Linked DNA regions of Arabidopsis thaliana. The protein of the gene in region 1 binds, or shares a complex with, the protein of each later gene. Each region holds a gene or a part of one and is shown in the gene's direction. Other genes may lie near its edges.

The links.
Region 2: TIC40 (region 1) and Tic22-IV share a complex: the UniProt entries of both Arabidopsis thaliana proteins name them as parts of the tic complex.

The regions. Positions count from the first base shown.
Region 1 is NC_003076.8:5,448,728-5,455,305, forward strand, and holds TIC40 (hydroxyproline-rich glycoprotein family protein), read left to right. Parts: upstream 1-1,892; 5' UTR 1,893-2,080; coding exon 2,081-2,276; intron 2,277-2,527; coding exon 2,528-2,645; intron 2,646-2,733; coding exon 2,734-2,791; intron 2,792-2,901; coding exon 2,902-2,919; intron 2,920-3,329; coding exon 3,330-3,639; intron 3,640-3,758; coding exon 3,759-3,865; intron 3,866-3,972; coding exon 3,973-4,036; intron 4,037-4,398; coding exon 4,399-4,483; intron 4,484-4,588; coding exon 4,589-4,629; intron 4,630-4,813; coding exon 4,814-4,859; intron 4,860-4,965; coding exon 4,966-5,060; intron 5,061-5,141; coding exon 5,142-5,245; intron 5,246-5,345; coding exon 5,346-5,393; intron 5,394-5,475; coding exon 5,476-5,529; 3' UTR 5,530-5,850; downstream 5,851-6,578. UniProt on the Arabidopsis thaliana protein: Involved in protein precursor import into chloroplasts. Part of the motor complex consisting of a co-chaperone (TIC40) and a chaperone (HSP93) associated with the import channel (TIC110).
Region 2 is NC_003075.7:16,063,640-16,068,869, reverse strand, and holds Tic22-IV (Tic22-like family protein), read left to right. Parts: upstream 1-1,972; 5' UTR 1,973-2,154; coding exon 2,155-2,520; intron 2,521-2,610; coding exon 2,611-2,673; intron 2,674-3,045; coding exon 3,046-3,120; intron 3,121-3,216; coding exon 3,217-3,267; intron 3,268-3,384; coding exon 3,385-3,444; intron 3,445-3,549; coding exon 3,550-3,612; intron 3,613-4,018; coding exon 4,019-4,054; intron 4,055-4,139; coding exon 4,140-4,232; 3' UTR 4,233-4,433; downstream 4,434-5,230. Other genes in the region: FLDH (NAD(P)-binding Rossmann-fold superfamily protein), read left to right, coding at 1-1, 75-239, 340-645, 741-881; AT4G33355 (Bifunctional inhibitor/lipid-transfer protein/seed storage 2S albumin superfamily protein), read right to left, coding at 1,302-1,311, 1,424-1,773. UniProt on the Arabidopsis thaliana protein: Involved in protein precursor import into chloroplasts. Imported into the intermembrane space via the Toc translocon. May be involved in the import pathway used by proteins without a cleavable N-terminal pre-sequence.

The DNA.
Region 1 (6,578 bases):
TTTTCCCGTGGATTCTAGCATTTTCTCGAGATTCGACATCTTCCTATGTTTTTAATTCTGATCTTATGTTTGGATATTTTAGATCTTCGAATTTCTATGATAAAGTGTTAACCTTTTCTCAAATAAAGGTTTTGTGAAAATTTGCTTTTTGATGCTGCTCTATGATGATTCTTTTTGCTTTAACCACACTGAAAAGATGGGGTTGAGAATGTGATTTTGCTCTTCTTGATTCAAACCAGAGAAAGATTAGATTTGATCTCGGAGTTTCTTGATGACACTTTGATCTAAGTTGCTTGAAGGGGATTCTTTTTCTCCTTTGTGGTTTAGATTAAGGTAGAGAGTAATGTCGAGCTCTTATCAACATTTTTCATGGTTTGAGGCTTGAAGAACATTCACGTTTTTCAAGCTCACTCATGTGGACAACCTTGGCCCTTGTCTGAGAAGCAGCTTTTTCTCATATTCAGTTTTTCTAAATTTGTTGTTTTAAAAAAAAAAATTGGTTTGTTTTTTTGGCTGTTCTATGATGATTATATTGCTTTAACCACACTGAAAAGATGGGCTTGAGAATGTGATGTGGTTCTTCTTGATTTAATCCAAAGAAAGAGTTCTTGAGCTATATGTATTGCTTGATGACACTTTGATCTAAAATACTTGAAGGGGATTTGTTTCCCTTTGTGTTTTAGATCAAGGAAGAGATCAGTGTAGAGCTCTTGTTCGATATTTTTCTTAGTTTAAATCTTGAAGAACATTATCATTTTCTCAAGCACTCATATGTGGAATCATTGTGCCCTTTGTCTGAGAAGCAGCTATGAATTCTGTTTTTGTCTTCGATATTGTTAAACGTAGCTGATTTGTAAGATTACTTTGTGATCTTTTTTGGATGCTTGATATGTATCCAACCAAGAGTGGGTTTCTTCTTACAAAGATATTGAGTTAGGAATTTTAATGTCATTTTATGTTCGAATTGGGGAAAATTCACAAAAAATTGGGAAAATAGAAGAGAGCATTATTCGATGTTTACCACATGGTGGAATAATTTGACAGAACAATGTACTTTGGGAATGACATATGGAACAAACTGTGTAAACCAATTTGATGATGAAGGTGAACGAGTTACATATAGGAGACTTACACTTCCATAATAATATTCAGAAACTATATGAAAGTGTATCTTTCTTTATTACTAAAACTCTTTTCTAATAAGAAATGTGTAAACTATGTAACTCGGCAACGGTTCCAGACTCTCTAATCCTAAATCAATGTTAAAGGCGTAAGGCTCTTGAACCTGTTCATTGTGAGCTTTGAACTAAGTATTCAATTTTTTGGACAATCCGAAAAACACAACAGTATAACTACAAATGGATTAGTCCCATTTGGGCGTAGTCTCATTCGTTTGGACGAGAAACACAACGAAAAACCTAGCCAATTTTGTTGTTCTCATGTATGGGCTTAATTGGGGACTAATCCATCTGTGGTTCCCCTTGTTTCCATAGTTCGTAATTTTATTCGTTTTTCGTCTTAAGTTTTCCCTTCTTTAGGTTTAGTTTCCGGAGATATTTTTGTTTTCCGCCGGCTTTGTGTTTCAAATTTGTATTCCACCCTTTGTATTTCACAACCTATAATACAATGGAAAAATTCTGGATGAAAAAAAGAAAAAGAACACAGTATATAGAAAAATCTGAATCACAGTACTAACATCATTGATTTTCTGCTACAAAAATGAGTGTACACTGATTCTTAAAATAGATACGGGCTATAACATAACAAAAAGAAAAAGTGGGGGATGGCTTTTGCAATAATCTCGAAAGAGTTTCTCACTCACATCACACCCTTGGTTTATAAATAAAACTCATTGATCTTGACGGTGAAAATATCGCCACCTGTTAATTTGTAAAAAGGTTTCAGTACACTTAGCTACACTGGATCCAAGTCTAGTGCTAAACTCAAACCTCGTGGTTTTAGACCAAAATCTCTTCTTCTTCGTTTCCTTCTTCCTCATCATATCTTTCATCTTCTCCACCAGAATTTGTTTTAGGCTCTCCTTCTTCTGTTTCTTTTTCTCCCAAAGAAACAATTAGATATGGAGAACCTTACCCTAGTTTCTTGCTCAGCTTCTTCTCCAAAGCTGTTAATTGGATGCAATTTCACTTCCTCGCTGAAAAACCCTACTGGGTTTTCTCGTCGGACTCCTAATATTGTCCTCCGGTGTTCCAAAATATCTGCCTCTGCTCAATCTCAATCTCCCTCTTCGCGTCCGGAGAACACTGGAGAAATCGGTTAGTTTGCAAATTCCACTCGACACTCTATTATAGCAAATGCCAAAATTTTCCGGAAAAATTTCCAGTTTATTACTTTTATCTATCTTATTGAAACTCAAATTGCGAACCCTTTTCGACTGGTTTAATATGAGCTTATGAATTGCTATATCTCTTAAAAAAATCCACACTTTGTGAATTTGCAATTTGAATTCTTGTAGAAACCATTCATTGTTAGAATTGTTTACTTTAAGTTTATGTTCGATTTGCAGTGGTTGTGAAACAGAGAAGCAAAGCTTTTGCAAGTATATTTTCTTCGAGTCGTGATCAACAGACAACTTCTGTTGCTTCCCCTAGTGTGCCTGTGCCACCACCATCTTCATCAACCATGTAATTTTCCTGGTTTTGGACAATGTGCTTAGTTTGTATGTCGTTTGATTCTTGGTTATTAAATTGTGTTTTTTCTTTTTTCTTGTAGAGGATCACCACTTTTCTGGATTGGTGTTGGTGTTGGTCTATCAGCTTTGTTCTCATATGTGAGTATCAAGATTCCTTCCTAATTTTTTTTTCCTCTATAAATATTCTTTCTTGCTTCAATATTGATTAATAAGTGCTTGACCTTTTTTCTTTTCTGATGGCATTGCAGGTAACTTCAAATTTAAAGGTACAGATACTTGGCCCTCTGGTTTTACGGGACTTTTGTTCTCTAGTCTGTTGCAGAACCACGATTTTATGCTTCATGTCAACTCTAGTGTATTGTGCTCATGTATCTGAGATAGTTTTATTCACTAAACTGGTTATCTTAACAAGGTGAACTGTTTGCTCACACTTGTTGAACCGTTTATATAAGCATCGAACTTTTGCCTCTCTTTTTTTGGGTAGTCACTTGATTCGTAGATGGTAACCTACATACCATTATGGTTTTAGTGATGCAACTCAGGTATTCAGACTTATAGTCATTTTCGCAACTCCAGTATTTGATTGAAATATATTATACAAGTTGTCATTGCTTTCTCTCATTATTCTCTAACCGGCTGTTACTCTCTTTGGATTTTTTTTTTTGCTTTGGTTTAGAAATATGCAATGCAAACAGCTATGAAGACGATGATGAACCAAATGAATACGCAAAATAGCCAGTTTAATAATTCTGGATTCCCATCAGGATCACCTTTTCCGTTTCCATTTCCTCCTCAAACAAGTCCTGCTTCCTCGCCATTCCAATCTCAATCCCAGTCTTCAGGTGCTACCGTTGATGTGACAGCGACAAAAGTAGAGACACCTCCTTCAACTAAACCGAAACCTACACCTGCAAAGGATATAGAGGTGGATAAGCCAAGTGTTGTCTTAGAGGCAAGCAAAGAGAAGAAAGAAGAAAAGAACTATGGTAGATTCTTTTTCTGTTTCAGAAATCAACGTCTTTTCATTTGTATTCTCAATTTTGACTTTCTTCCTTTCTCATTTTCCAAGCTTCTAACTTGGAAGCTGATTTACTTTTGGATGCAGCCTTTGAAGACATTTCACCCGAGGAAACCACAAAAGAAAGCCCATTTAGCAACTATGCAGAAGTCTCTGAAACTAATTCCCCCAAAGAAACTCGCTTGTTTGAGGATGTAAGTTTCGTTTTCTTTTGTATTTCCACAGCACACCAAGTGGTGATTTAAAAACGTGACATAGTTTTGCTAACCTTCTATGCTCTCTTATTGATCTCTGGGTGAAGGTCTTGCAAAATGGAGCTGGTCCGGCAAATGGTGCCACTGCTTCAGAGGTTTTTCAATCTTTGGGTGAGTTATTGAATTTCAGTTTTCATCACTATCAGCGCACTGTGCATGATTCATGATTAAGGCTACGGATTTCAATTTTATTTTATAGCATATGCCAACAATTATAAACAAAGGAAGATATGAAATTGGTGATAAAGAGGAATGAGTTGGCTTCAAAAGGATCTACTCCGTTACTTTTGTCCTTCTGCTAGTCGTTGATCTGTATTGGTATAACCATATAAGACTTGCAGGATATTACCTTGGCAATCTGTTTCATATCTCATGTGTTATGATTCTTTTTTCTTATATGCTCACGTTATTGTCTCTCTTTTCCTTATTCTAAATTTAAAACTGAATCCTGAGTCTGTCTATTGTTTACACAGGTGGTGGGAAAGGAGGGCCGGGTTTATCTGTAGAAGCTTTAGAGAAAATGATGGAAGATCCAACAGTCCAGAAGATGGTTTACCCGTAACTCATCTTCCCTAGCACATTGTCTTTAAATGCATCCATTAAGTTTATCTTTAAAACTGGTTGCTTAGTGGACATTTGGTAACATTGCATGTATAAATGCAGATACTTGCCTGAGGAGATGAGGAACCCAGAAACTTTCAAATGTAAGTCTTTTAATATTTAATCCTGCTATCATTCTTTTATTAGTCCTCATTTTTACATATTTCTAAAGACTAAAGGTTACATGACTAGCTTTTGAATGATGTAATTCGTTTATAGGTTGATCCAATGGTTATCTAAATTTAAAATACAGTTTGGTACTTATTGTCTCCGCTTGGAATTTTGTAGGGATGCTTAAAAATCCTCAGTACCGTCAACAACTACAGGACATGTTGTAAGAGCTCCATTTTACGAACAATTTAGTTGTTTCCATTGCTTTTAAGAATGTCTAAACTATGTAATTAAGAAATACTCTTGTTTGTTTCTTTTCATGAATTTAGGAATAATATGAGTGGGAGTGGTGAATGGGACAAGCGAATGACAGATACATTGAAGAATTTTGACCTGAATAGTCCTGAAGTGAAGCAACAATTCAGTAAGACAAATCTCAGTTTGTACCAAGTTAATAGTACGTTAAATAGGTCTGATACTCAATGATTGAATCTGTATTTGTCAGATCAAATAGGACTAACTCCAGAAGAAGTCATATCTAAGATCATGGAGAACCCTGATGTTGCCATGGCATTCCAGAATCCTAGAGTCCAAGCAGCGTTAATGGAAGTACGTTTTCTTTTAACCTGAATAAGAGAATTGCTTAATTTTACCCCACTTCTTTCTTCATACAAAACAGAAACCAATTACATTCTTGTTGTTGTTGCAGTGCTCAGAGAACCCAATGAACATCATGAAGTACCAAAACGACAAAGAGGTAATAATACTGCCACTTCTCCATTGCCCAAAAAGGCGATTACTTTTTTAAGAAATTTGAGGTTATTATACATTGATTGCAGGTAATGGATGTGTTCAACAAGATATCGCAGCTCTTCCCAGGAATGACGGGTTGAAAAAGCTCACGTCTTTGGTTCTATCAAAAATGTCACATTGTCTTTAGCTTTTTGTAGGGAGAAAAAAATGTTTTTTTTTTTGCAAAGAGTCTTCAGTTTTGGTCAGATCAGAGAATTGTGTACCATGTTAATCTTAAACGCGGTCGGGAATTGGAGTCGTGTGAAAACGCCGCTGCTGTTGTTTGGTATGAATATTATACAATAGAATTTGTTGTCTTACCAAAAAAAGTCTATGAAGACACTGAAGAGCAAATTATTATTTTTAAGGGAAAATTTCCAAAATAAACTTCATGTATTCAAAATTTGCTTGAAAAAACCTCAATTTTTTTTGTTTGAGATTGTGTGAATAAATCTGCCAATATTTTGTTTTAGCAATTTAAAAAATTGAAGTTTTTTTCTCGCAAATTTTAAATAGTTGTGATTTATTTTGGAATTTTACCTTATTTTTAATATCCAAAAGGAGAAGTGACGTGGCGATATCGAAGCGGTTTAATGAAGTGATGGCCCCATCTTAAAGAAATCAATGACCCTTATCGTTCCACTTCTATCGGAGTCGGAGTTTTTTTTTGTTGTTGTTGTATTCCGTACGTCGGTCGTTGTCGGGAGAATTGGCGCGTGAAATCCTTGGCTCCGTCGAATACGTCTGCCTCCGACGGCTGTGAGTCGCATGATTGAGTCGTGGGTAAGTATCCTTGTGACTTCAAATTTGTATTTCCGTTCTTTATAATCCCCTGACTCTTGAGAAAATCGAGGAGAAAAAACCATCCTTGCTTGGTATTCATTTGAAGAGTGTTTTAGTTATAAAATCGTAATGTTTGACGGTATGTGATATTCTGTGAGCATGATTATTCAGAAAGCTTTTGTCTTTTTAGTAAATATTGTCTCTTTCTTAGTCTTAGGTAATGTAACCTCAAGAACTCTATGCGAGAACATTACACATTATCTTTGGAATTGGATATTATATTGTTAAAGTTTAATCATTGATGAAAGTTGCAAAGAGTTATGATGACTCCGTTTTGGGATTGTCTTACCGTTGTCTTTCTGGTTTT
Region 2 (5,230 bases), on another chromosome or scaffold:
AGTATGATACTTTTAAATTTCAAAATTTTGTTTTGTAATGTTTGATTCTGATTTTGATCTGGTCTTGAGATAAGGTTCATAATGAGAGGTTCTTCTGCACTGAGTATGAGAGATCCAAGGCTGTTGCTGATAAGATGGCTTTGAATGCTGCTTCTGAAGGTGTGCCGATAATTTTGCTGTATCCTGGTGTTATTTTTGGTCCAGGCAAGCTCACTTCAGCCAATATGGTTGCTAGAATGGTATGATTCTTCCTTTTGCTGATTAGAGTTGCATTGGTGGGATGATGTAGTGGTACATTGACAGTATGTGGTTGATTATCACATGATGTTGTTCTTCTAGTTGATCGAGCGCTTTAACGGGAGGTTGCCTGGATATATTGGCTCTGGGACGGATAGATACTCCTTCAGCCATGTTGATGATGTTGTGGAGGGTCATGTTGCTGCAATGGAAAAAGGTAGGCTTGGTGAAAGATACTTACTCACTGGGGAAAATGCTTCTTTCAAGCTTGTCTTTGACATGGCTGCACTGATTACTGGAACCAAAAAGCCAAACTTTAGCATTCCATTATGGGCCATCAACGCATACGGATGGTTATCTGTTTTAATCTCTCGGGTTACAGGAAAGCTTCCACTTATCAGTCCTCCGGTGAGTTTCAATTGCATTCATTAGTTGCCCACATATTATAGATTATCTTATTAGGTATAGAATAATCTCAACTCTTAGTATTTTGTGATGAACAGACAGTGACAGTGCTGAGACATCAGTGGTCATACTCTTGTGATAAGGCTAAGCTGGAACTTGGTTATAACCCTCGAAGCCTAAAGGAAGGATTGGAGGAGATGCTCCCTTGGTTGAAGAGTCTGGGCGTCATTCACTACTGAAATTCAAATTTCCCATCTTTCAGGTATTTCGAAGAATAATATTCCCTTGAATTCAGTCACTATGATGAGTGATGACTACATTTTTACTTCTCCCGTTACACTTTTAACCCAATCGATTTTTATCTTGTTACAAAACTGCTTCGTTTTGATCGTGTATGTCAAATAAATGTGAAACATTGTGTGCAAATGCTGATGATCATATTTTAAGATGTTGAGCTACGTGTGAGAGTAGGAAAGAGGGAATATGTAAATGTGGGAAATAATCACATTTTATCTGCCAAGAACTATATGATTACATCTATAACATATATGATCAGAAGATAAATACTAAGTATCCATATAATTTGTTCATGATGGTTTTGATCTTTTAGGATATCCACTTTATTGTAGCTGCATGGCCGTTGGTAGTCAATCTTCTTTTCAGTTTATGCTGTTCAGTGTTCACAAAACAAATTAAATAGGTCAATTAGAGGATTATGTAGTTAGAAGCTCTCACAACTACACATGTTTCGGCAATATTAAAAAGAAACTGCAGTAGCTACCTGTTACAGTCCACAGTCTTAGAGAAAGGGACTCCTATATTAACACCACATTTAGCAGGGAGTTGTTTGGCAAAATCATCATTAATTCCAGGGATTGTATTAGCTACACTCTTCAAGCAATTACAAGCTACTTGTCTATCGGCTTTCTCAGGCGCTGCGGCTTTTAGACTATTAAGTCCGTTGCAGCACATTGGAGACGGATTTCCTCCAGCTTTTAGATAAGGCAAACATTGTGCTAAGTACATGTTTACCTGCGGACATGCTATGGCTTCTCCATGATACGCAATCCCCAATAAAATCGTAATCACAAGTAGTAACATTTTTCGGGTTGTAGTAGTAATGTTCCTCATATTTTTCAGTTAACGAGAGTTTTAACAATTTTGTTTTCTTTAGTGTGTTGTTTGCTTGATCTAGTAAGTATTTTATAAGGAGGAGAAATTTGGAGGAAAAAAATGTCATCGACATGAATTTTGAGTGACAAAAGCTTTTTGTAAGTCATGTCATGTGTTTAGAATGGTGTGGAAGTTGAGTTTAGAAAGTTAATAAATGCTTTGTCACCAAACTTTTGATCAAGGGCCATATTAAACGTAAACTAAAACCAATCAAGTCCAATAAAGCCCAAATAAAAAAGCCCAAACGAATTGCTCTGAAGCCTTTTTCTTCACTCTCTTCATAGTATCAAAAATTGCTTCTTCTTCTTCTACTTCTTTCTTCTCTCTGCAAATCCAAAAATGGAGTCATCAGTGAAACCCAATCCTTTCCTCTCCTTCTCTTCTTTCATTCACCACCAGTGTACCCGCTTCAGCTCCGACCTCTCCGCCCGAATCGAAGACACGAAACGATTCGCCGAAACCCTAGCTACTCGACGTTTCTCTCTTCCTACTCCGCCGCCTTTCGCCTCCGTCTCACAATCCAAGTCTGGAACCCCGACGACGACGTTGAGTCCATCTCTTGTCGCTAAAGCTCTCGCTGGGACGTCGGTGTTTACAGTCAGTAACACCAATAACGAATTCGTTCTTATCTCGGATCCTACCGGAGGCAAGTCTATCGGTTTGCTCTGTTTTCGACAAGAGGATGCTGAAGCTTTTCTTGCTCAGGTTTCGCTTTTTGTTGTATTTTTCTCCTCCGAACTTTTTTAAAAAAATGTGAAGTTTCTGAGCTCATAATTCTCTAATATACTCCTTTAGGCGCGACTTCGGAGAAGAGAATTGAAAACCAATGCGAAGGTTGTTCCCATTACTCTGGACCAGGTAGTTCCCTTTCCTTATGATCACTGCATTAGATCAATGTGGAAGAAGCCATTGGTTAAATCAAATGAAACAAACAAATTTCAGGAGCTCAAATTCTAAGTAGACTTGTTCATGTCTGGCCTCATTTTAGTTGTTTATATTATACGGTAATAGGAACACCTGTTGGCAGTTTGAATGAACGGGAGATTGTGTTCTTGTGCACGTAGCAATGTTGACAACATCGTCACAAGAAAGAATGCAACGATGGCATGATTATAATCCCTCTAATGGCTTGGAACTTATAAGTTATAACTACGTTTAGGGAACTTTTTGATGTTATTTGCGTAATCGTGGTAGCTACATTCCCAGAAGTTAAGATGATGTTGTTTACAGGTGTACTTGCTAAAAGTTGAAGGGATTTCCTTTCGCTTCTTGCCAGATCCAATCCAAATAAAGAATGCGTTAGAGGTTGGCTCATGCTAAACAGACTTTTAATTATATGTGTCTATAGCATTTATTTGGCATTTCAATCTTATCCATAAGCTATATTTTCTTGCGTCTCAGCTCAAATCCTCAGGAAATAAGAATGGGTTTGATGGAGTTCCGGTTTTTCAGGTAAATTGATATACTCATTTTCTGTGTTTTTCTATTATACCAATATGGATTCCTTATGTTTTGGTGTTTTTGCTTTGTTTTCTCTTGATATCTATCTGTTGTTATTGGCCTCTACAGTCTGAGCTTCTTGTTGTGAGGAAAAAAAATAGACGTTACTGCCCTGTATATTTCAGTAAGGTTGGTTAGTTTCTTCTCCCACGTTAAAGAATACTAATAGATCTCTCATAAGCCAAAACAGAGGAAGATAACTCTTACTTTCCTGTTCTGCGTGACCACTTTCAGGAAGATATAGAGAGGGAACTTTCTAAATATACGAGAGCATCAAGAGGAGATCAACAAATTATGGTAATGATTCATACCTACCTTCTATGTATTTGAATCTTCGATAGGCCACGTAAGATAGAAACAAACACCTTGATCTAAAGACATGGTTTACTAACAAGTGGGAGTAGCTAGTAGCTGTGTTGGCATCATATGTAATTTCTAGCATTTTTTGTGATTACATGTTCTGCAAACATATAACACCATGTTTTCAAAGGAACAGCGAGGGAAAGGGAAAAGTCTTAGAAAACTTTAGAAAGAGCGGAATTCAGATTGTACATGCCTTCATATATCTGAGTTAAAATGAATTCCAAGGTTTATCGTTATCAAAGTTGCATATCAGAGATCAATATATAAAGTAATTTCACAGCATTGGTTTTGTTAAGAGTTTTCTTATCTTCACCATGGAACTAATCTTTTTGTTTTGCAGGTTGGGAGTCTGGAAGATGTGTTGAGGAAAATGGAGGTACTCACGCTTCTTCTTTGTTTAAAGAAACCTTAAAGTATGAAAACCTGGTAGTCTAATAAAAATCTGAATTGAATCAATGTAGATGAGCGAGAAGAATTCAGGTTGGGAAGATGTAATATTCATTCCACCGGGAAGAAGTTATGCACAACACATGCAGGATTTGATCAAAGAGTAAAACCATAATAGACACAATGTGTGTATTTTTACTTGATAAAAAAAAAACAGCCTCTTTTGAGATTTTGCAATATTATCAATTGCCCAAAGAGCTCAACACAGTCCCAAAATTTAGTTTTCTCCTCTCCTTTTACCACTTAAACACATCATCAACATGTTACTCGTGGTTCTTACATCCAGAAAAATATATTTGGCATATACGGATACCTAAATCAAATAACATAATCTTGTTTGTTTTAAAAAGTGGAGATGTACGTTATTCATCTGTCATTAGAATGTAGTATCAGCCTAATTATTCAAAGGAGGTTGAGGCCTCTAAAATGATATGTTGGTTTAAGCTAATTATTGATCAAATTTGGTTGATATACGATTATTAAAACTAAGATGTCTTACCAATACTTATTTTCATTTTCTTTTCCTCTCATCATAATCGCTTTGACATCTCAGCTTAATGATAATGTGATTATTTTCATCCTTACTAATTGTTACTGCCTTAAAAAAAACAAGTTGAAGTAAGAAAAAGAAAAGGAGATGAGATTGTTTCAAAAGCATTGATCCTTTCCTGAAGCGTAAGTAAGCGATGTTGACAGCAGAACTAAACTTGTTGCTTGCTTGACTTCCTCCGTCGTCGCATATTGCACCTACTAACATTTTTTCTCTTCTTTATTCTTCCAACCAATTGTAGCCTATGGTCTTTTGTACCAATTTTTCAAAAGTTGTAGTTGGTAGAGGTTTTGTGAACAAATCTGTAACATAATTTATTTTCTAACATAGATTGCATCGTTTTCTGATAAAGATCATCAAATTGTGGAAATATGTAGTTTTTTTTTAGTTTTTTTTTTTTGGGCGGAAATATGTAGTTTATTATCCTACTTTTGATGACATTTTCCTTTATTCAATTGAGCTGTAACTACTACTTTATTTTATTTTTGTATTGTGTTAAGTTGTTGTATAGTCTTTATCGGAGATTACATGTTCTCCGAACTTATGTAACAGCAA